Neodiprion lecontei: one gene and its partners. The protein of the gene in region 2 purifies or fractionates together with the protein of the main gene of each other region. This does not show direct contact. Links are inferred from orthologs where the notes say so. Each region holds a gene or a part of one and is shown on either strand. Other genes may lie near its edges.

Evidence for each region. Proteins that work in one complex are often made in the same cells at the same time.
Region 1: the proteins of splicing factor 3A subunit 3 (region 2) and PHD finger-like domain-containing protein 5A purify together in Homo sapiens (affinity purification with mass spectrometry; 3 studies listed by BioGRID and IntAct, with this or other methods). This does not show direct contact. The link is inferred for Neodiprion lecontei from reciprocal best matches to the Homo sapiens genes SF3A3 and PHF5A.
Region 3: the proteins of splicing factor 3A subunit 3 (region 2) and splicing factor 45 purify together in Homo sapiens (affinity purification with mass spectrometry; 4 studies listed by BioGRID and IntAct, counting the BioPlex papers as one, with this or other methods). This does not show direct contact. The link is inferred for Neodiprion lecontei from reciprocal best matches to the Homo sapiens genes SF3A3 and RBM17.

Annotation. Positions count from the first base shown.
Region 1 is NC_060261.1:2,318,424-2,326,608, reverse strand, and holds PHD finger-like domain-containing protein 5A, read right to left. Parts: upstream 4,476-8,185; 5' UTR 4,229-4,475; coding exon 4,177-4,228; intron 3,900-4,176; coding exon 3,709-3,899; intron 3,637-3,708; coding exon 3,547-3,636; 3' UTR 2,913-3,546; downstream 1-2,912. Other genes in the region: MAGUK p55 subfamily member 7, read left to right, coding at 5,338-5,362, 5,855-6,141, 6,412-6,543, 6,734-6,760, 7,326-7,493, 7,573-7,644, 7,730-7,854, 7,981-8,108.
Region 2 is NC_060263.1:30,614,861-30,623,362, reverse strand, and holds splicing factor 3A subunit 3, read right to left. Parts: upstream 4,642-8,502; 5' UTR 4,547-4,641; coding exon 3,044-4,546; 3' UTR 2,705-3,043; downstream 1-2,704. Other genes in the region: HEAT repeat-containing protein 5B, read left to right, coding at 1-41, 117-398, 474-663, 756-925, 996-1,317, 1,424-1,693, 1,804-1,985, 2,070-2,315 and 11 more. UniProt on the Homo sapiens protein: Component of the 17S U2 SnRNP complex of the spliceosome, a large ribonucleoprotein complex that removes introns from transcribed pre-mRNAs.
Region 3 is NC_060260.1:29,029,861-29,038,228, reverse strand, and holds splicing factor 45, read right to left. Parts: upstream 4,985-8,368; 5' UTR 4,841-4,984; coding exon 4,724-4,840; intron 4,524-4,723; coding exon 4,212-4,523; intron 3,939-4,211; coding exon 3,495-3,938; intron 3,268-3,494; coding exon 2,980-3,267; 3' UTR 2,913-2,979; downstream 1-2,912. Other genes in the region: gamma-interferon-inducible lysosomal thiol reductase, read left to right, coding at 1,078-1,191, 1,427-1,642, 1,725-2,045, 2,196-2,282. UniProt on the Homo sapiens protein: Splice factor that binds to the single-stranded 3'AG at the exon/intron border and promotes its utilization in the second catalytic step. Involved in the regulation of alternative splicing and the utilization of cryptic splice sites.

The DNA of each region.
Region 1 (8,185 bases), on a different chromosome or scaffold from region 2:
GACGCCTGAACAATCCGATGTAAACTACTTAATAGCTTAAAGTCGACTAGCAGAATTAATTGCTACGTGGATTCACCTTAGAACAATATATGAAAACAGTCAGGAAGCTGATTAAATTATAATTTTTTTTTTTTTTTGCAACAAATTTGAAGTTACGTACGATACATCAAGAATGAAGGATATTTCTAGTGAAAATACGATTTACAAATCTAGATCTGTGAATAGTGTTTTGTAAACTTTTCTGTTATATATTTTTTTCTTTTCTTTTTTGTTTTTATCTTTATGTATTACCTAATATTATCGGAGTGAAACAGTCTTTTCAAAGAAATTTTAGACTTGTTTGGCGTTAGATGTAATTAGATAGACTGAAGTGCAGCTAGCTAAAAAAAAAAAGAAAAAAAAACGAGTATAGTACCTATATTCAAATCTCTAATCATCAATTCGCAGAAATGTTTTATTTATGTTCGTTTTTCTCCCGTTTTCGAGATTTTAACGTTCAGGCAGAGTTATTAACAAATAGTGCAGAATCGTTCTGTTTACTGTGCAAAAGAGGAATAATAACTTGGTGATATAATGATATATCTAAATAAATATTTTAAATTCAGTAGTACGAAATTGGGGTTGTTGTAATAAAATTTACAAAAGATATATGTAACACACGACGAAATTTGGTCGGAAGTGAAAAAAAAAATTATTTACACTTCCCCCACGCTGCGACTACAGTAATTTGTATGTAAATATACACAGACTTGCTATAATCAATTAATATTGAAGCAATATTATAGAATAAGTGATAAGAATACAGACCTACTTTTGAGCCAATAAATACTGGACTATAAGGAAAAACACACACATAATAATGTCCTATAAATGACACGGGTGAATTGATATAATTATTCAGTATCAAGCAATAATGGAGTAACGAGGATGAGATGGAAAAAAAAAATACTAAAAATTGAAAAACCGTATCCAATAAATGTTTCACGTATGTCGATACCTCGCAATAGTAAAGATATGAACAAACTCAATGTAACAACATTTCACAAAAATGCAACACATGTACAAAGAGGCAGAAAACAAATAACCAAAAAACAAAAAAAAAAAAAAAAAGAAAGAAAAACGATTTACAATATTGCCTAAATACAATGATCAAAATAATTATCGAATTTCATGTACAACATACATGCTATGAAACAATCAATTGAAAACTGATCACAATAATCGAAGATATGTTTAAAAAAAAGATTATGTAGCTTAGGAATTGACACGAATTTTGTAATGCATAATTTCAGACTAAAGAATTAATTTCGAGAGAATGAATTCTGTTTTGGAATAAATTTTGGTAGGAACCTATGGCCCTCCCGCCCCGTCCAGACGTTATGCTTACACAATGAGATTGATGTCGATGTTATAATACGAAATAATAGCATTTCAATGTAGAAAAGTCCTGTAATTATAATTTTATCGTCTTTTATTAATTGTTGTAGAAACAATTACTAATGGTGCTGGTGTAGAAAAAACCCCATCAAGTAAACATAAAAATGTATCGCTTGGCGTTAAAATATGTAGATTATTAAAATTAGTTCGCTTGTAAGATTATTTTTCTTTTTTTTTTTCTTCATCGCAATCGTCCAATAGCGTGAATTTTCTTTTTTCCTTTCTAATAAGTTTAATACTCTTAATATGAGGGATATTGAATTAAATTAACACTTGGCCAATTTCACGGTCAGTTTAATAAGAACTAAATATAAATGTTAGGATCCTAAAAAATATTGGATTTTAGAATCTCATATTTGTCATTAGCGTAAAGTTTATATGTAAACAAGTACAGACGTAGGGTAATATTGCTTACGTCTTACTGTCCTCAGAAGTAAAATTCAATAGCTGCAATGATGTTTAAATACAGAGAAAAGATTTCAAGTATTTGCTCTTTACGATTAATCAAATTTTTTGATAAGTATATCGTATGACCAATCGAATGGCTTTGTGTATTGCTAAGAATTAGCTTACGCGGCACCCATCGATCTTTAACATGTAGAATAGTGAATTTGTGAATAGTAAAAAGAGCGATTATTACAATGATAATAACCGATGATCACGTCGGTTGTTAATCATAAATTACAGCTGAGAAGTACAATACTGAAAACTAACCATCTCATGCATGTTAGCGATGATAGATTAATTGATTAGTGTTTAAAGTAAAGAAAAATATATATATAGGTATATATGTATACCAAAAAAGAGAAAAAAAAATAGTCGATCAAAGTTATATCGAATTTTCAGTAGGTTATGAATTGCAAGTAGTTGGTCTATCACTCGTGGTTTATCATTGTAAAAACTTTAATTCTCTTCTCTAATAATTTTACTGACAATACCGTCTACTAGAAAATGACTTGATAAGAAATAACTAATGCAGCTCAACAGTATTGAATATTGGCCAAATAGGGTAATATTTTACCAAATAAGTTTGTGCCCAAGTTAAAGTGAATTGAATCAACGATATGAAATGAATTTCAACAGCTTTATTATTAAACTTACATATTTCCCTAAGTATAAGGGTAGAAATAATCGGTATTGGTTTCAAAGTTTCGATTGATATTTATCGAACAAAGATTAGAATAAAAGTGTTCATATTCTCAGTTAAATAGCCTGACGAATACAAATATAATACGACACATATGACTTTCAACAATGTTAGTAAAACTGTTAGAAAATGTTTAATAATTGGTACAGGTAACTGAAATTGTTACTAAATAAACTATTGGATTGTAATAGTCATACGCTAAGTCAGACACTGTAGCAGAAGAGTAATGCAAGTGGAATCGCCTAGAGAATTGAAAATTTGAATATTTTATGCAGTCTTTTTAAACAGTTATGTATTTCTAAAAAACATGGCTTTTTGCAAATGTAAGTACAGTCTTTTGGAAAAACCTCTTTGCAGAAGTTCTCTCATATATAATACTTGTGAAACGGTGAAAGACAAGTTTTTCTTTAGCAAAAATCGTGCCCTCAAAATTGCGTGCCAAAATGTAACGTCTGTGTTAATAAAGATTGTTTGATCTGCGTGCATTATTCTTCTAACACTATTTCTTTAGATATGTGGTTTTAAACGTATTCAAAAACTTTAAAGTACGTTGTGTGCAAATATAACGTAAAAGGACGAAAACAAATTGTAAAAAAAATTAGGAAAACATAATTCATTCGTAGAATAATGTTGATGACAAATGAATAGAGCTATATTTAAATAAAAATCAAATATAACTTTTCACGATCAACTTTCATTTTCCAATTATCCCTTGTCTAAATCCAAATCTCTGCAGGGGATCGACGGACAGGAAATGTAATTAGGAATCGGTCCAATGATTTTGCCTGTCGTTGCCTCGTCATAAATAAGAATAAAGACGAAATACAGATGTACGAATATAATTCAACCGTTTATTATAAAAACACAGAACGCAATGTTCCATCCTCATTCATTCTCATTTCACACATCATAACTTACAGATACCGAGATGTTGTAGTCTATACTTATACACATAATTACATCTATCGTCGTTTAAATCCATACTTTTTCCTTTCGTAGAATAGATCCGTTTTCGAACTTCCCAGGTTTACAATTTTCGGGCACCCGTCTCTCTGTCGTAAATATTTAAAGAATTAGCATTTTCAGCGTCGCCAATTTGAATCTATGATAACGATCTTACGTACATCTTTTTCTTGAATTGTACATTCTTTGCAGTAATATGCATCAGATACACCGGGTCCTCCGCAGATAACGCAACGGCCTTGGTAAGATCCGTAATTACATTCGTCACAAATTCGTACCAGTGTACAAGGCCTCACATACGAGTCGCAGATTACACATTTTCCATCACACTTTTCACATAATCGACCAATAGCTGGAGACGGAAAATTCAAATTGTTTGTAGAAAATTATTCACAGGTGAAGCCAGGTTGGCTAGGGTGATGTTAGGTTATGTCAACTTGTAGAATCGGCAGAATGAACCATGAAGTAATATTTTCAAGGTCGCAGTTTCGAAAACGATAATACCAGTAGCCATACGTGTTTCACGAGCTATTATTAGCAATGAAATAAGTCATAAAATCTCGAAACGAGCGGAGATAGTAATGATCAGCATTGCGATCAAGTCTTACGCTATTTTTCAAACAACTTACCAACGCCCGGCTGTTTCCTACAAAATATCAAATCTGGATGATGCTTAGCCATGCTTTGGAATGATTAGCGTCCTTCGGATACCTCAGAATACTTAAATTATTTTGTCAATATCAACTTGCAACTTTTCAAAAAGGCCGACCTTACCGAAAACGGATGTATCGGTATCAAATTAATTTTCAACATCGGTACCTTCACCCGCCACTAGAGGGTACATTTTCAAACGCAAATACAAGGAATTTGAAATTTAAACTTGCTATGATTATTGAAATGAAAGATTAAACGAAACGTAGATGGAATTGAGACAAACGTTATATTCCCGTATTTCACACAAATAATCAAACTATCAGAGAGAGCGAGAGAGAGAGAACTGAAAGCACAAGTCTTCTATTTCGTTTATGCTCTCTCTCATTTAGACACATTCGGTAATCCACATCATGCGTTTCGAAATCAGCCCCCGGTGCTGTCAACTATCTTACGTCGTTTTTCGCTATAGAGTTCGTAGCTGGTTTTAGTCCTAGGGAGTTTTCAGCGCTGCCAGTTAGTTTTGGAACGCACTCATAAATTGTCATAGACTATTGACTGAAGACTGGACGGCTATGCTAACAAGATTTTGTGTACTTATGTGATTATGTGATAAAAGGCCTCCGCCGATAAAGAAGCTTCAGATCACTCCAATTCCACTTGCTGAGTATTGGTCACAAAAATTTATCCAAGGGTAACAGATTTAAATTCTTCAGTCAACGCAGACTCACTCACTCACCCCCTCGCACCCAAATTCAGAATATATTCGCTGATGGATCCGCAGTGACCAGTGACAATCAGATTAGAGGGAATAATTCAGACAGCTGCAATCCTCGGATGCACGAATTTACCAATCCAAGTACCAGAATTAGCTTCCTCGTAGCGCGTTCGCTGACTGCAGTTTGGCATTATTTGGCATGTTAGAGCACAGTGCGAAGTGTCGGTCGTGTGCGTATTTTTGGACATCGCGCGTATTTACGCGTACGTATTATGTACGTGAGAAAAAAGTAGTAAGGCTTCAACTCGGAGGGAAGGAATAGGGTGATATTCGACCGTAGTAAATTTTGTATCATTTCTCAATCCTGCCCTCTTTATTGCGCGAACGATTTCGGGGTGAATGACGGGTCGCAAGTCCCGTAATGGATAATTCTAATTGGGATGCAGGTGAGTCTTTAAATTATTTCGTTATTTCTACCCCTTGATAATTTGTTCTGGTTTCACGACATTGGCTGAAAATGTGTTGAAGAATTGAATATTTTCACCACGGTATGCAATTTTCATGTAAAGAATCACCGAAAGTCAATGAAAAATATCTGCGCTACATTAGTCAGTTTTATTTGTATATAGATTTTTAATTGAAATTCTCTCGTAAGTAATTGTCTCAATTGGGTAGGACTTTTCAAATCAATTCTATTGACATTTTAAACCGTTCGTTCTAAACTAGAAGTAAGCAAAGCTGTGAAATCTTGTTGATCTTTCAAGCTGGACAGGTTCTCGAGTCCTTACATCAAACTTGTAAATAGACAATAACTATTTATAGAATAGTCTTGAAGCTCGGTTATACACAGTTTTTATGCTTATCTCCTATTTCTATTTCTCTGTACAGGTACTCATGCTGTATGGTATTAAATTTTAGGTTTTTCATTTCATTTTCAGCCTTATCAAAGCTTCTCAATTCACTGGAAGATAATAAGACTGAACTCCCAAGTTGCAGCGAGGAGGAGCTTAATTTTCTCAGTGAAATATTAAAGTCGAAGGAGCTTAACGCGTTGGTTAACGTTCACAACAAGATCATAAATCTCTCCAATGATGACAAATTCTTTCCTGTATTATCAAACTCCATGGACGTCAACATCGACGTTTTGGATGTACTTGTGCCAAAAACACGTGGATCCGCAGATTGCAAGCAACTATTTCTTTTATTACAGAACCGTCATATGCAGGTAAGAGAAGGAAATCAATGAAATTAAAAAATACAAGGAGAAATTTCAAATGAAAAATCTTTTCATTCTGCAATAATAATTTAATTTAGGGAGGAAAGAGATGATAGCAATTCAATTTCGATATATATCCTTCTTTTACAAATATCAAGTATCATGCTTGGAACAATTAAACGAACTTTCACGGATGAAACAAACTTATTCACGGCACTCATTTCGAACAAGCGACAAAAAGAAAAAAAGTTAAATCCATTCACACCCTTGGATTTTCAGGCTCTGCTATGCACTCATGACGCAGTTGCGAAAAAGGAATACTACCCAAAAATTCCTGAACTACCCCTGGAAGTTGACGAAGATGATGAAATCATAAAAATTGTGGAGCTTATTAAGTCCAACGAGCCCTTGGTACGTCTTACCGATCACATCAAATTTTCTAGGATTAATTTGGTTTTAAGAGACAGCATAGAGGGACAACAAGATTACTAGAGTTACGGCGAAGCATTGGCTTTTTTCCCCTTCCCAAGATAAATAAGAATCATCGAAAGGCCAATTGTATTAACGAATTTCTTTTATAATTGACAAACTTGCTTTGAAGTGCGGTCCTGGTGTTGAACCAATTGTGGTAAGTTTCTCATCGGGCTTTGAAGATTGGTTACTTTCATTGGCAAAACGTGAAAGAAAAAAAAAAAAAAAAGCAAAGAACAATAATGATGAAGAATCACATCCTTTCTCTCTATGCATTGAAATATGAATTAGCCAACTTTCCTATTTCCCTACTAAATTCGATTCCCGACCATTTTGGTGCCAAGTATCATTAGTTACCCCCAATAGTTATACCATAACCGAGCAAAGTTGAACCCTGTAAAGATTGTTTAAAAAATATTGCACGGTCACTAAATACTCGCGCTTCAACCGATGAGTCAAGTTCTCTGATTCCGCTATGCTGTGCTATAAACTGCACTGTCGACAGAAATAGTAGCTGTCTACTACATAATGCTCTTGTTCCCGAGCACATGATTGAGTTTCATGATTTGTTTTTTTATTGTTTTTGTCTACACTTTCTGCTCAAATGCTATGCTTGAATATTAAGACAGAAAAGCATAATCGATCAAAAAAACCATAACTACGGTAACCAAATTCAACTTCTGACGAAATAAACCTATATATCAGTTCCCATTTACTAACAGGGAGCAACGATAAAGACTTGCGAAGGAACCGACAAGATAGTCTTCGCGCGAATTCTTCTAGGTGGCCCGGCAGACAGATCTGGGGCTATTCATGTCGGCGACGAGGTTCTTGAGGTGAACGGTATCAGCGTTGAAGGAAAGACACCGGCTTGTGTACTGAAAATTCTCGTAAGCAGATTTTTACTCCATTGAAAATCGTTTTTTGGTGAAAAAGTGCATTATTCACCATTTTGATATGATGTTTTAGGACGATTTTGAGGGCACAGTAACATTCAAACTTATTCCAGCGAGTAGCAGGTGCGGCGTCAGAGAAAGCAAGGTAACATCGAGAAACCTTGTAAAATTATAATTACAATAGGTATGTTTGAAAAAAGGATGAAACTTCCTAACAACCACTTTCACAGGTTCGTGTTCAGGCACATTTTTCGTACACTGCCGCGGACGATCCTTACATACCTTGCAAAGAAGCAGGATTAGATTTTGTCAAAGGGGATATACTTCACATCGTAAGTCAGGATGATTCTCACTGGTTAGTATCGTTTCAAGCGGGGATAAAAACGCTGAACTAAACTTTATTCAGTAATTTCTTGTGAAATTAATATCAAGCGATCTTCCTAGCTTGATTTGAACGTCAAAACATTTTATTGTTTCAAAGGTGGCAGGCGCGACGTGAAGGCGATCGAAATATGAGAGCTGGCCTCATTCCGAGCCGAGCCCTTCAGGAGCGAAACATCGTCTTAGAGCGACAGCTCAAGGAAAAGAGCGATGAATCTGACCATATAAGTATGTAGTACACGTTGCTATTTCATTTTTAACTTTGTAGAGTATCACAGGTTCGATACAGACAAAAACAAATCAAT
Region 2 (8,502 bases):
GCCAAGAAGATGTAAAAAAATCTGCAACCAATCTGATTATCGTGAGTCACTTGGTCCACTAAAATAACTATCCCTTCAAAGTATCGCAATTTAGAAAACGGTGTTAACTTTTTTAGAGCGCACTTGTCAGTAGCAATTCAATCCTGCGCTGCGCAGCTGGTGAGGCAGTCGGGCGAATGGCACAAGTTGTTTCAGACTCCAAATTCACCGCAGAGTTGGCACAGACCAGTTTCGATCGACTTAAATCGGCTCGTGATGTGGCTAGTAGGACGGGTCATTCGCTGGCACTTGGTTGCCTGCACAGATATGTCGGAGGAATGGGTTCTAGTCAACATTTGAACACAAGTGTCAGCATTCTGCTTGCTCTCGCCCAAGACAATACATCTCCTGTTGTACAGGTACGTTTTTCATCTAATAAACCTGCTGCCGGTTGCACATCAAGCTATTTCTAAGAACGTCATCTTTCGACTTAGGTTTGGGCATTGCATGCGCTAGCACTTATTGCCGACTCTGGAGGCCCGATGTTCCGAGGCTATGTCGAACCGACGCTGTCATTAGCATTAACTCTCCTCCTCAACGTTCCACATTCCTACATTGACGTTCATCAATGTATTGGCAAAGTTCTGTCTGCACTTATTACCACCATTGGACCAGAATTGCAAGGTATGTCTTTCGTATCATCTATATTAGCCTACTCGCTAAGTCTCGACGAAAATAAGTTAAATCAAACTCACATCTCTACTGCAATTTCACAGGCAATACATCGACCATATGTATGGCACGGTCATCCTTTTTATGCGCTTGTGCAATAATGCAAGATCATCAGGACCCGCTTGTTCAAGCTGAAGCTACAGGGTGTTTACAACAATTACATCTATTTGCGCCACGACATGTTAATTTGTCCTCATTGGTTCCCACATTGTGTGTAAGTTGTTACTTGGAAACCTATCAATTTGTCACAAATCAGCAATTTTATCGATAATCATTAATTGCAGCGCACTTTGTCAAGCAATCATCTTCTACTTCGCAAAGCGGCAATATCTTGCCTTCGTCAGCTTGCTCAACGGGAGGCGAAAGAAGTATGTGAACATGCGATGACATTAGCCAATGAAAGCAGAGATACGAACATCGTCGAGGGTCTTGTTATCACGGAGACAGGTCTTCCAGGAGTTTTATTCAGCATGCTAGATACAGAAACGGACAGCCGACTAATAAAAGATATCCACGATACTCTTACCAGTATGCTTCAAATGCTTGCTGCTGACAACCTATCACAGTGGTTATCCCTTTGCAAAGATGTTTTAACGGTAGCTTCAGGTAAGGAGTGATGATTTTCGACTCCTTGTTACAATTAGCGAGCTCATGGAAATTAGTAATGAAATAAATAGTGTTCAGAGATGTACGTAACGAAACATATTTTTAGAGTCGAGTACGACAACAGAAGAAGTCACTGCTGTTCTAACTGAAGATAGTACAGCGGATGATGAAGGTGGTGAAGCAGAAGGTGATGATGATCAGGCCGAATTTCACGCAGAAGAGTCAACACGGCAACGTCCAGCTGTCTCACCACGTTGGCCGACCAGAGTTTTCGCTGCTCAGAGTGTACGACGGATTATCACTGCTTGTCTTGTCAACAAGCAGGCACACTTTGATCTGGCCTTAGCTAAGGAAATGCAGCTCACCAGAGGAAGAGGTATGTACCACGCCTGGATTTTTCTTTCCTGTTCTTCTTTCACAATCAAAATGATTGGGATACTTATGGCCCATATTTTGTGATTTGACAATTTAATTTTCACCTTTCAGGAGATTTTCTAGTACTACACTTATCAGATCTAGTGCGTATGGCGTTTATGGCTGCGACCAGTGATTGTGATCCTTTGCGATTAGAAGGTCTCAAGACCTTACAAGAAATAATTGATAAATTTGCCAAAGTTCCGGAACCAGAATTTCCTGGACACTTACTTCTGGAACAATTCCAAGCACAGGTGATTATTTTGCTAAAATTTAAAACACGAAAAACTACTCAGTCTATATTCCCATGATCAAATAACGATAATCTTATCACAAAGGTTGGTGCTGCCTTGAGACCAGCGTTTTCTACAGAAACAGCATCTCACGTCACCGCTGCAGCTTGTGAAGCTTGTAGCGCATGGATTGGTAGTGGTGTTGCAAGGGATCTCAATGATTTACGCCGAGTACATCAACTGCTTGTATCGTCGTTGGAAAAATTAAGAGGCGGACATTCTCATCAACAATTATACAATGAAAGCCTTTCTACGTTAGAAAAACTGGCCATATTAAAGGCTTGGGCTGAGGTAAATACGTAATTCCATGTTACAGATGATTCACCACATCATTCAATAATTGCAATAAGCCATGTGAGAAATTCATCGCGTGTGTTCTGATTCAATGTTGTAGGTGTATGTGGTGGCAATGATTAATGATGGTTCAGCACCTGGAAATGTAGAGACGTCATCAAGAAATAAGGCTCATACAACTGCCGCAAACGAAGAAGAAGGCTTTGGCGAATTTGAGTTCCAGAATGAAAGTTTACTCAGTTTAGTTCAGCCAGAGTTATTAAGTCTGAGTCAACATTGGTTAGCTGCCCTGCGCGATCATGCATTACTCTCCCTACCACCTGGTAAGTTATCCCACTCATATAAAAAATGAATTTTGGAAATACAACTGCTAGATATTTGCGGAATTTCATTTATAAATACATTTTTATTAGGTCCTTTATAGTTCATCTTTTCTTACAAATATGGTCACAAAATCCATTTGAGAATTGGTGAATATGTAGTTGAATTTGTTACAGCATAATATTTAATCTATATTATACCTCGTTCGTTTGAGGATAATATATTTAAATACACATTAGAATTTATAAAATTATTAATTCTAGACACGAATCTCTTCTTTAGCTTCGTGTTTAAACATGTGTTTGATTAGTATAACAGAATCATGCATACAAGAATATGGAATGAAACAAATGAAGCCTGCGCGATACATGCTGTACAAATTATTACATTAATTGCGTTCAAATTCAAAGTAGACCCTGGCGTTTCAAATCCTCGTAAGTTTTCCGATTCACAACATTTCCTAGAGAGTCTTCAAACTCCTCTTCTTGTTCCGGCTGCCAACGTTCCGACTGTTTTTGTGCTTTGAGCTTTTCCCACAGAGCTAGAGCGTCCTCGATCTGTGTGACGTTGGCAAAATGCGCTGTATTTGGTATCCCCAAACATCTCATACCGTGAGCGTGTCTCCACTCTGCAAAATGCCTTTGGAAGGCTTTGGGTCCCTTGTACGTAAAGTTTCCGCAAATTTCGCAATTGTAGCTGATGTTGAGACCGTGAAGTTTGTACAACCAGTATGGTATAGGCTTGCCATCCCAACCGAGGGGTAGATTTTTCGGATTATACGGAACTTCGTTGTCATCTTCTTCTTCCGACTCGCTGGCACTAGCATCTGCATCAGAATCACCTCTCTCACCCTCCGTTCTCGCCTGTTTTCTTTGAACATTTTCTTTAGTGGCGACACGCTGACTAGATACCAGCTCGGCAAGCCTATACACCTGAGCCTCGAGCATTGCGATCTCCTTCTGCTTTTCCACGTCTCTTCCTTTGCCTGGTTTTCCCGGTTTGTTTTTGGTCAGCAGACTCGGATCTAGAGAGGCTTGTCCCTTAGTGCTAAACAACCTCTGCGCTCTCTCTTCCAAAGTTCCACCGCACTTAAGACCCAGCGCCAGTAAGGCTGATTTTAATCTGTCCAGACCTAGCGAGGCGAGTTCTTCCCAAGAGGAAAAGGCGGAGAGCTCTAAGTGCGCCCCAACGTTAGTTAGAGCACTTCCGGTCTCCTTTGGCCACCCTGGAAAGCTGCTGTTTTCCCAGTGTACCACGAATTCTCTATTGGCTGTTTCGATTTCAGCATTGAGATCAAGGAGCGGACGAACCCTAGTCAGATATTCGGTCAAGTACTCCAGGAGCGCCTCGACGTATCTGCGATATTCTGCGTTCTTACGCTCTCTTGGAATGTCAAATAAATGATCGAAAGTCGACAGATAGGTTATGTAATCGACCTTTTCAATACCTTTCAGGTTTATATACTTTTCGTAGCACTCGTGAAGATCGAGGTATTTCCCGTAGCCCTCTTCGTCGGTAAATTCGACGAGATTTGCGAGTTCCTCTGTTGGATTTTCTCGCATTTTAGCCAACTCCTCGAACTCTACCGACATCGGGACGCTTATCTCGTTCGGATGCCGCCGATAGAATTCCTTGATGGACTTGAGTCGCGAATAAAATTCGGAGAACTCGTTCGGTCCCGACAAAGCCTGGACCTCGTCCTTTCGTTGGCCATCGTTATCCTCGTAGAGATCCTGCAAATGCGCTGTGCTGTCCATGTGTTGGTCTAATAGCATTTTCAGCCGATGTTCTGAATTTATCGTTTCTCTATGTCCCGGCTTCTTGTGCAACATTTCTTTGACCATTGCGTCCATGAGACGCTCCCGTTCTTCATGATAGCGACGCTGTTGCTCTAAAATTGTTTCCATCCTATTTTTTTCTTCACTAATGTGCACTCGAATGTACTCTGTACTACTTCACACGTAAACGTACTATTGATTACTGTGTCCGCCATTTGCAAAATACAAAACTTGGCTCATACGGCTCCAGATCGTAGCGCCGTGGCTAACAATGAGACCAAGTCAATCACTCAGGCTGTACGTCAGACTCTGACGGTATTGTAGTTTTCAACCGATGATTGAATATTGAATACATTCAGGTTTCCTTTTTCATTTTATTTTCAAAAGTGGATTATAGAGTCTTTTGATGCAGAAAAAAGAAAAAGTAGAAGATACCAAGGGTGCAACTTAATTGTTTCAGAATTTTCAAGTCAGCTTCCTCACGATGGAGGAGCTTTTTACACAACTGATACAATGGAATCAGCTCGTCCGTATTACCTTGAGTCTTGGGCTCCAATACTTCATGCAGCAACACTGTGGCTGAATGCTAGAGGCTTCGAATCTCCAGAACCTGCCAATGTCGATACTAATACGAAGAATAAACTTGGCCGTAATAATAATAATGACTCTACCAATACAGAATCTAATGTCGAACGATTCCATTTATTGTTTGGTAAGATTTTTTCTGCATACCTCACAATGAAAAATCTCATTTTACAAATTATTGCATTGAACATTCTTCCATATTTCGCTTCAAGGTATATGCATGGAAGCTTTGTGCAGTCCTCGATCTTCGGAGTCTACCCAAAGTGTAGAGACATGTCTGAGTGCTCTCTACACCTTACTTGATTCTATATGGGCACGCAACGTACTTATGGTTGATCGGTCCCTTCCTATTGAGCTTTGCAATGTTCTTCACAGGTAAGTTACAGAGCCAATACAAAATCTGAAAATTGCTAATTTTATTCGATGTATCAACAATTTTTAATTTCATTTTTCATTATCCTACGTTGCCTTTCGCTGGTCAACAAAATTTTATTCATCTTATTCTAACTATACAGGTTGCTACTGACGCGAGAAAGCTATACCATTCAAATGATGGTAATGGAAGTACTGAAACAAGTAATGCGTGCTGCTCAAGAAGACCTTGCAGATCGGAAAAAATCGAAACTCAAAGGTTGTTCATGAAACTCGTTTTTATCAATGATTCAATACATTATTTATTTTATTACTAACGCATAGAATTCGTTCACTTTCAGAACTTGTTCCTGCAAATCAAGAGTCTAAAGACACCACAGAGGTCGATGAACTGGGGGAAGGGCAGGAAACTGGTGACCTTATTCCAGGACAATCTTTAGTTTTTGCTGTACTAGAAGTTTGCTTGTGCTTACTCGTACGACAAATACCAGCGTTGAATCCCAGTCCAGGTGGTGCGACAACGGTGTTGTCTCATCGGGGATATACAGCATCGGAGGAATGTGGCAGGCTCATTGCTGCCACTCTGAATGTGATGGAAGGTCTTCCAAGGCTTTGTTCTCCACAAGGTTGGTCCTGAAATTACTTGATGTGTCGATGTATATCATCGATAATTTATAATAAAAAGAATTCTCAACAATCACGTTAAGTTAATACTTGTTCGTAAGAACATATTTTAAATCATGCTGATAAGGTGCATATTTTGCTATCAAGCTTTAGTTCGGTTTATTTTAAGTTTTACATGTACGCGATGAATACTTAAACTGCATTGTCTCACAGGTGCCATTGCGATTCTACCCACGTTGTTATATTTAACAACTGGGGTAATTAGAGAGACTGCGATTCGCACAGATAACGATAATTCTGGGGTCGGACCTGGAGCACCTGTGCACGGGGCTCTGCATTGTCTCAAGAGTCTTATGACCAATAAATACGCAACTGATGCAAGAAGTGAACAACAGTGGAAAACTTTGCTTCAGAGTGCTCTTGCTAAAATAGTCGATCTTGCAAAAACAGGTAAGCCATATTAAATCTAAAATCATCGTTACTGCATGTACGTACCTCATTACGACGTACATTCATAATGATTGGATTGCAGGTTGTGATGAAACGAAAATGGATGAAGTTGCGATGATGTTAGGGATTGCAGTGTTTGTCCTCCACGCATCCCCTGAGGTTGTGAGTGCGCCGAACTTACAGTACCCTTGCATCAATCATTTTCGGCAGTGTCTTCAATCAGAAAATACTCTGGTGAGTACGAACTTTCGTTCTTGCCCGGTCGTCCTAGTACCTTATCATTGAATGAGAAAATGTATCTTTCTTAAAGGTTAAATTAAAGTGCATACAAACATTGAGAACAATCTTCATGCACTATGAACGCAGTGTCAGTACTCCCTACATCCACGCTCTCGCACCAAGGTTGGTGGAATATCTGTACAGTGAATCGAGCAAACAAGTATCAAACGAAACTCAGCTAACTCTTACATTAGAAAGCATAGCAACGATTGAAGCACTCATATCATTAGCTGAACCTGCTAATCGTGAGTAGATAATAAATTGTAACTGCTTTCACAATTATGGTTCTTTGTATTGATAAATTAAATTTTGCATGCAAACCAGGAGATCTTATGCAAGGTAGGTGACGATTTCCAGGGTGTTCGTTCTATCAGTTATTTTCAATAATATCCACACCAACCAACTACATGGTATCATGTCATTGGATAAAAAAAAATATAATTGGGAACTTTTTTCAATTTTCAGGTATTCAAATGCTTACTCTGTTGGTGCCTATTCTGATAAATTATCTACTGGAAGGTGATGCCTTGCGCCATGGATCCAAATTCCAAATCACTCTCCATCAACAGAGTTTTCAATGGCTGAATAAAATAGGACCAAAGTACCCTCAGGTTTGATACTTATAATTTTTCTGCAATGAATTGTACGAATATTGCATAGTCCACATAAAATATTGCATATTGTGCAGGAATTTAAGACGTTGATGGCACAATCTACAGAGTTGAAAACAAAGCTCGAAAACGCGGTGAAATCCAGCCACCAGCAGCAGGTTCAAAAGCAATCAAGATTATCGGAGCCAGTGAAACAAGCAATTAAACTCAACACTGCCCCTTCAATTAAATTAAAAACAGATTTTTCTAACTTCAACTAAATAGTTGTAGAAACAGAACTAAGTATATCATTCTTAGTAGAACACTATACCATAACATTTATGTTGCTATGTTAACAAATTGTGTATAATACTTTTTCTCATCAAATTGCTTACGGTCTAACATTCCATCAGAGTTCAGATAACAATAAGTGAGTATCAGACAATTAATTTTTAATATTTGTAATCTGATAAACCATGCATAATTATCTGTCTGAAATTTTACGTTCGCTGCGACATGGATGACCGATGATTCGCATCCCGTACATACAGTAAAAAAACTCGTAGCATCGAACATTTTAGAAGTGATATTTAGTTTTTTCGTTTCGTTGCATATTTATCAACAATTGATCCTCGCGGCGTACTGCTTGTATACTAATTTAACAGTTATTAATTTACTGAAGAATTTTCGAGCGTAAAATATGATTCATTAGACCGCAAATTATTTGATGAAACGATTGAAAACAAAGGGAATGCTCAGTGACCACAATAAAGAGTTATTTTTATATTATATCATTTTAGGTCAAGATTGGAAGAACGATATGAAATAGTCATGAAATATTTCTTAATTATAACGTATATTTTGACGTATGCTTTAAGTCGATCAGATACAGATACATACACGGATAATATCTTTGAATTATCGTCTTTGTTGCGTCATTTCCTTTAATCTAACGCATCAAACGCTATTCACTAAAGTATGATCGAAATTAGGTCTAATCGTTGAAAAACAGTTGTCGACAATCCAAAAACAGCATTTAATTTGTAATAAACAATCAGAATTAACATCATTCGCGAAGTCTTGTGAAAGTTCTGTTGGCATACCATTAGAATATGTTTATCAATGATATTGATTTACGGGAAATTATTTGTTAGTTCAGACGTTCATCCACTCCACATTTATCTG
Region 3 (8,368 bases), on a different chromosome or scaffold from region 2:
GTTCAGGTGCATAATTGACACGAAGCCAAATCGTGCCATGAATCATTCTTGTCAAATAAATTTAACATCTTCCGCAACCTGGACCTGAGAGACAACCTCTGGGTGCGCATCCGGCGGGTGGACAACAAACCGTTGGTGGTAAAACTCTCTGTGCCATAACCGTACCGGTAGACATTGGTCTGAGAATGAGGAAAAATAACGCCGATAAGATCGGAGTTATGGAAAATTTAGTTTAAAATTTTGTATCCATATTTCAACGTCTCAACGACTTAATTCCTTAGTAAAAGGTAGATGGGCGCGCACTTACGGCCCGCATCTTTTTCTTTTAACATCTTTGTCTTTTCCTTTCCCCGTTTTCTTTTTGCCTTTATCTACGTCTTTTTTATTCTTATCCTGATTTTTGTCTTCCTTAGGTGCCATTGTCTTGTAATGATTATGCGAGAAGCAAACGACTGAAACGGATATTTAAAATTGCAGTAGAATTTAGCTATGAATTTATAATTTTTTATATTTTTCACATTTCCTAATTTCGTTACATGTTTGGTCGTGAATTACGGAGGAAAACAATATGCAATAGTCTAATAGAAACAAGTGATTAGCATATAATTACTAAGATAATATTTCCTGCGCAAATAGATAACGGTCATACTTGGGTAATTTTCATTTCATTTCAATAGGCATTCAAGCAGACTCAAACTTGATACAAAACTGAGTTAATCAAAGTATGGAGCGAGTGTTTGTATTGGTGAATTAAATATATGATATATTATCACGCCAATCGTACTATTAGATTGCATCAACAAGGGTGATATCGATTATCGGTAGATATCGAAATCGACGCCGCCATATTGGTTTCGAAATAAACCCTTGCGTACGCAATGAGTTTGCGAAACCATAAGGTTTCGATTAAACATGCGACGCAAGATTAACTAATACAAGCTCAGCCGTATTAAATATGAGAAGCTAACTTTATCTCTGTGTAAAATTAATTAAATAAACAATCCCGTCATTCCAAGTTTGCGTATGTGACCGCTTTGTCTATCGCAGTAGAAAGTGTTTCTTTTATTATTATTTAAAATGGGACTCGGAAGCTTTCGATACCGTCTAATAATATTACTTTGCACTGCTCTCGTTTTGTACCAGTCAGCCAAATATTGGCCGTCTCTCCAATTCAGCGATGATCCTTCCCAGGTAAGCACTACTGGAACATAACCTTACCTATTCGAACCGAGCATAAACTAGGGTTCATGCAAAGCAACGCTTGGCAATTCGAGCCCCAATTTTAGTATTGAACATAGTTAAATGGTTAAACCACCACCAGCCAACTTTCTCAGATGAGGTTTTTTACCTCTTGTTGATTTTAGTGAATCTTGAAATCATAGTTAAAGATTTTGTTTTGCTTAAACCTGCTTGAACACGCATTAAGTCTTCTGCAGCAAAATCACTGGCGGCCCAAGAGCTAGTCGAAGGAATAGATATAGCCGAGCCGCCAAAGACGGATGTACAGAAGGTGCTGGTCTCCGTGTATTATGAAGCCCTTTGTCCAGATTCAAAATTTTTTGTAGTCAAACAGCTATTGCCAACATTTCAAAAGATAAAGGAGAACCTGCAGGTAGAACTCATACCATATGGCAAAGCCAAGGTAAGTCGGGCTATTCTGCTTATCCCCATATGTTAGAATTCAATCTTTTGATTATTCAAGTTTTAATTCTTTCCTCTTTCAGACAGTCGAAACTCCCACTGGGTACGAATTTACGTGCCAACATGGGCCACTCGAGTGTGAGGCAAATATCATACATGCCTGTGTTATTGATCTAGTCAATGATCAGTTAATACAGCTCGATTATATTTCTTGCATGATCCAAGACAACATGCAACCTGAACGAGTTATGCATCAATGTGCTGCCAAGGTTAACCTAGATGTCACACCTATAGAGAAATGTTATAAGGGGACAAAAGGGAAAGAGCTATTGGCCAAGTTTGGGGAAATGACAGATGACTTGTCTCCCAAAGTGGTATTCATACCCACTATTACGCTCGACAAGGTAAGATAAGTATCTTAGAAATAGTTTTTATCTAAGATTATGCAATCTAAGAATTATTAAATTTCATGCATAATCTTTGTTGATATCGGTGTCAGTACAATTTCCTGATCATCCTTTATCTGTCATCCATCTTGTATATTTTTTTTCAAGGACTCGAGTAATCAGGCAGCCATTCTAAAAAATCTACTTAAAGAAGTGTGTTCACGACTGAATAGTCCACCTCTAGGTTGTGCATAGCATCTCATTGATGTTATCGAAGCTATGGCTGTAACAGCATAATTCTATATTTCAAACGATCTGTTCCTACATATCACGACGCTCACCAACGAAAACTGTGCTTGAATTACCCCAGTTACAGGGAAGTATATCAAATACATTATTTTACAAACAATTATTAACTGCGATTATGTATGAAGAATAAAAGCGTTACAATATGTTTGAACTAACTAACTTCTGATCAACTGCATTTTATAATTTGGATTTGCATTCCAAAACTAAATACAATGATTATCACCCCATTAAAGAAATCTGTAGTAATGAAAATGCCTATATACACATCATGTTTAGGGTATTTTTACTCACTAATCAATCTCACGGCCTTCGAATGTAGAGAAAATCATGAACGTCTGTATATTTCGTGATGAAATTACCCTGTATGAATTTAACATAATAGATAAGTAGAAACTCAAATCGAAATATTCGTGTATTTCGTATGATTCAAAATTACAATTGCCTATCAATCCAAACAACCAAAATTGGAAGTCTACGATAAGAAACCACGATTGCTAAAACCTACTGTTAAATGCAGTGCAATAATCATCAGCCGAATAAACAGGTAGCAATTACGATGAAAATGATTCAACTCAATTTTAATTGACAGTATTTTATTATTCACCAACGGCGCACATTTAAAAAAAATTCATGTATTTCAAGTTTAGTCCATCAATTGCAAGGTGTCCAATTTTTCACAGGAATAAAATCCAGCTCTAACTTGTCTTCCGCCAAAGAAGCGACCGTTTAAGTCTACTACAGCTTTGATCGCACTTTCTATCCTCTTAAACTCTACAAATATACGCACTGCCTCTTCAGCCGGGACGTCCATCACCTCGTGAATCATAACACGCGATACATCCCCATACTTTGTGTTACACTCGTCCTTGACTTCTGGCTCAAGATCTTCATCCACCTCACCTGGTCCAACCATATTTCGTAAGAGTACCACCTTTTGAAAAAAAAATTCACATGACTGATAATACTCATATACCCAGACTTAGTGGGAAACGTAAAAAGCAAAACGGGCATGGTGAAATTTCACAGCCAGTTGAACAAGGTTTGAGATTCGTATGCCTGTTTAAGATCATGTCATTTAACTAAAGAGAAACAAAATAGACCTGTACTAAAGGCAAATAATTTTGCGCAGACTTCTACGCATGGCACTACTATAATAACCTTGCTTGGTGATTTCATAATCTCTGTAATGCTTGGCTCCTCCTGAGGAACCACAGGTTGTGGAACAGGGGCGACAGGTAGTGGTGGCGAAGGTACCATGGGTGGTGGAGGAGGCATCAATTGTTCTCTTTCGCCAACTATCCTACCACCACGTTTGCTGGTTTTTTCTACTTGTAAAGCAACAGACATTCCCTGTTCCTTTTTACCAAGACCCTGGCCTTCTTTGAAGCCATATTTTGCCATGATCTTTGCAGCTACGGAGGAAGCACCGTAGCCAAGATTCGATGCCTGAGGTCGTGCTGGAGGTGGAGGAGGTGCTAGATCTGGTGCCTCTTGAAGGGATGGGGGAGGTGCTATAGCTGCGCCACCGCCCACTCCTCTCGAAGTTGGTGTTCTTTCCTCGTCTCTTTCTGGTGCGACCATTGTGTTGCTGCCAGGGGAAGTCTAAATTGGGATCATTTAATTATGTATATTGAAGAAAGCATGATTGTTGTTACATTCAATGGCTTGGAACAATCTGTACACAAACTGCTTAAATATGTTGGATATTCTTCATGATCTAAACTAGTATTCAGTTAAGACGACAATAGAGAAGAAAGAGCTTTCTAACTTTGACATATAAAATTGCCAGCCACAATATTGCTTATTTGAAACAAAAATCCAACGACTTAGCGATACCAGTAAAACAATGAAAATTGAAAAACTCGATTCCCATACCTGTGGATCTTCAAATCTGGTAGTGTCGCGTCTGCGTTTGCGTAATTCATTTTCCTGGTCGTGTTCTCTGTCCCGAATATCACGTAATTCCTTGACGACTTTTTCGTACTCGTTTGGCCACATTGGGTCATATTCATTTACTACGTTCCAATCAAACTCGCCTCCGACTCCGACATTATTTGTACCACTAAGGGTAAGAGAATTTCCTGTTTGTGAATCTTCGTCTTTCTCGCCATCGCGGTTAACCTTTGATTTCAAGTCAATCACAGGTGCCAAAACTGCCGCAGCTTTTCTGAACTGTTCTCTTTTTGGCTATAAAAAATTGTTCTTGATATTAGTCTTCAATTTAGAAGTAAATGCGAATGTTTTATTTTCATATTCCCGGCACGGAATAAATAAATCTTGAAACTGAAATGTTTTTTTGAAACGAAATTTTCGAAAGTTTTCGATAACGGTAAAACGTTTTGAATTATTGAATGTACTTACAAAGTAGCGGTTAAGTGAAATATTACCTGTGTAGTTGCCGCTTTTTTTAATTGCAGCTGGGACTGTAATAGTTTAATACCCGATGACCACCCTGCGACTTTTTCTGTTGTTCGGTGCTTATCAAAATCATCGTACAATGACATTTTTGTACTATTTCAACGTGGATGTTGTTGACATGTCAAATATAACCTTCAATCATTCAGTCTGCACTAGTCTGTAGCACGATTCACAGTTCTTGCAAGAACAACCATTGAATATAACTGAATGGAATCGTGCATATCGATGCGTTTACCAGCCCTTACCAGATAAAGCAAGTCGATAAATACAGGGCGCCACATATACTGATGACCGACTCTGCCGTATTTAGCATCATCTGAGCAGTGGATAAGGCAGGGCATATTTACCATAGCAGAGTGTCACAGTAGTGGTAACGAAACTGAACAAATCGCAAACATTATCACTTAGTATTTCTGCAGCAGGAAGAAATAATATACAATCTTTGTAAGCTCATAATTTAGTGTAAAATCTTATCTATCATCTACTAATACATCGACCTCGAAGGACTGAATCTAGGTAGCAATAACGATTCATTCCTTTGATAAAGTTAGGTACTTCTTTAACCAATATATTCATAAAATCGTTCCAAAAAGTAACTATCGCTCCGCAAAAATTACAACATCTACATTTACGAACACCACTGCTTACATATCAAATTATGTACAGATGCGTTATCGTTAACATTATCTTATTAGTTTCAATCCAAAGTTCGTACAGTGAGAAAAGACAAGGTTTGCCATTTCTTTCTCATTTATCGTTTATTTTTAGACACATCGTATTCGGCGAAAAGTTGTCAGAGAATTCATATTCACGCCTGACCACGATGTAAGTCTTTCTTGGATCGTGCGCCTGACGCAACTTGCTCCGGAAATTCAACAAATTCGGTCGCGTTGCGCGAAGTTCGCATGGCGCTTCCGGCCGATCAAGACTTGCTTCCGAAGGTTCCGAAGCTTCCGAGCAAAGAGGCTCTTTACATCTACCGCTTGCGTGATGGCAAGTATAGTAGAATACGAGTCGGTAACATGCAACTACGTCGAAATGTAGTTTCAAAAACCTAGTTTGTGTCGGATGACGCTTAAAAATGGAGGCCACACAAAACGCTAGAGTAGGCTCTCTCTATCAACTCTGTGGTCTGGGGTACCTTCGTGTGAATATCATCCGCCGGATGACGCTACGCTGCAATTGCTTGTACAGAATTTCAGGTAATTTTGTAGTCGTAATGTTGATAATGATCACCCCAAATTTTTAACGTTCAATTTGGAAAAGTGAAACCAACGCGCTATGCGATACTCGCTGAATGCATTAAATGTATCAAAATCTAATTGAACAAGTGCCTTTTTCTAGCCAGTCCGAAATAAGTAACGTACAGATCTCTAGTGTTTTGATTAAACCACAGGAATTTACTCTCCCACTTACGTTACTCTTGTCCTGTAATAACTACGTTCATACATGCATGGGAAGATACTTGGACATCGATATAATTATATTCTAACTTTGATCTCCCCTTCTTAATGGGGGGTCGTTTTTATACGCAAGCCCTATAGCTGATTACGGTTATAAAACTGTCGTAACATATTAAAACCAATGAAAGCATTTTTAACGAGAAAAACTACGACGACTAGTCGTTGGAACATGGGTCAACCATCTCATTAACTTATCATAGAACTAAGAGCCAGCTAAAACCTGTATTTCAAATTGCCAACGGGTTGCACGCGTACGTGACTCTGAAACAGTCACCAATGTGTACAGCCACTCAATAACTCCAGATCATGCGAAGTGAAAATTAAACTTTTATTTAAATCAAACTAAACCTCGCCTACTGTCTGTAAATTGACGATGAGATTTTTCTGGAGACAATCTGATTTTTAAAAGGGAGGAAGAAAACACAAAATAAAGAAAGCCTTAAAAAATTCTCGAACCATCAATTCATTGCATTTTTAAGACCATAATTTTATTACTCAGCAACATATAATACACATGATTGCAGATTATGCAGAAGATCATTTATTTTCCTTTGCCATTTCATTCTTCCGATAGTGGAAGGAATGACTGATAGCAACCAGAAGAGAATCGTGGGCAATGTAGGTACTTCCACGTTCAAGGTCGTATGTTTACTCTGATTTATCGTCGTACAAATACGTCGTAGGATTATCACTTATCATAGCCATATTGTTGCGTTATCGAGAACGTCTACCATTGTTCGCATATATACCTGTAAGATATACCGACATAGCTATATACATATATCTATATCCATACCATTACAACAAATTCACTTTATGATATACAGTTGTGGACACAGTATTCATTCAATAATACTCGACCGACAATGAGACGTCGTAAGATCCTTCGGTGAAAATAGTTTTCGTTTGGACACAAGTTCCCAAGCGCTGCCACGCTCGTATAGCTACAGCTGTTCCACGCACATGCAATTCGTTCGGCCGTTCCAAGTTTTTGCTGTTATCGCATTATGCGATCCGTGTGTATGGATCCTGAGCTGCACACGCGCTATGGCACCGGGAAGTGTCAGTGATGCCTGGTCCCTGTGGAAGTTGCGGTTGGGGGAGTAAGAGAAGGGGCGAACGAATCGATGAATGAACGAGTGCGCTCGTGTCAAAGGATATAACTGCAAACAATAAACATAATGATTGAAGTATCGAGGCTCGCCGGCTGCGAACAATTCAGGTACTCAAGTTTCGCTTCTACGATTTACGTAACGAGATACCGTTCCACGAAATGAAACGTCCGCACTATGCGAAGGCCTCGTCCATCCGTTTCAGACAAAACCAAAACCCGATGGGACCGCTGACGTAACGCGATTCAACGCCAGTGGTCCTCCTGCAACGTCCGTATTTCTTCGAACAGTATAAGGCGAATGAATGTATCTGCCCGTCGTAATATTTCTTCAAGGAAGTGTTGTAAATCCTTATATGCCCTGCAGTGCGTGCATATACACGTAAACAGGTATAACTCGCGAATAAAACTATCGCGCGACTCTATCCCCGAGCACGTATGGTATGCATATGCATGTGTAACGGTATTCGCGCAAGTGTACGAGTTTAGCGAGTAGTTTTCCGGCAACGAAGCGGAAGTCTCGTCTGTAAGTAAATGAGTCTCTGGAAGGGGTGAATCGGGAGCGAAAAATAAGTGGCAGCGGCGGCGTGCAGCTTGATAAATGCAAAGTTCGAACTTTCAGCTTCTGAAAGTAGTGGGTTGCGTAGCCATGTGTGTACGGGCTTCAAAGTTATTTATTAATAGCAAAGTTAACTCGGTGCGCACCGGCAGGGAGTGGCAACTGGCATCGGGTACCCGAGGAGGTCCGCGCGCTGAAGCGGGCATGACGCAGTGACGGGGGGCCACGACTGCCAGCGTCCCGCCCGAGTGCCGACGCCGACGCCGACGCCGCCGACTCTCTCCTGCCCACCGGGTGAGGCGCGCGGAGCCGAGCGGAGCGACGGACGCATGGACGGACGGACGGACGGACCGACCGACCGACGGACGAAAGGACGGACGCTTTGTCGGCGCCCGCGGCGGAGATCAAACGCGCCGACCTTACCCGCCTCCCTTCCCTCCCCCCTCTCAGATTCTATCCCTAACCGAGGAACCCCGCGCTG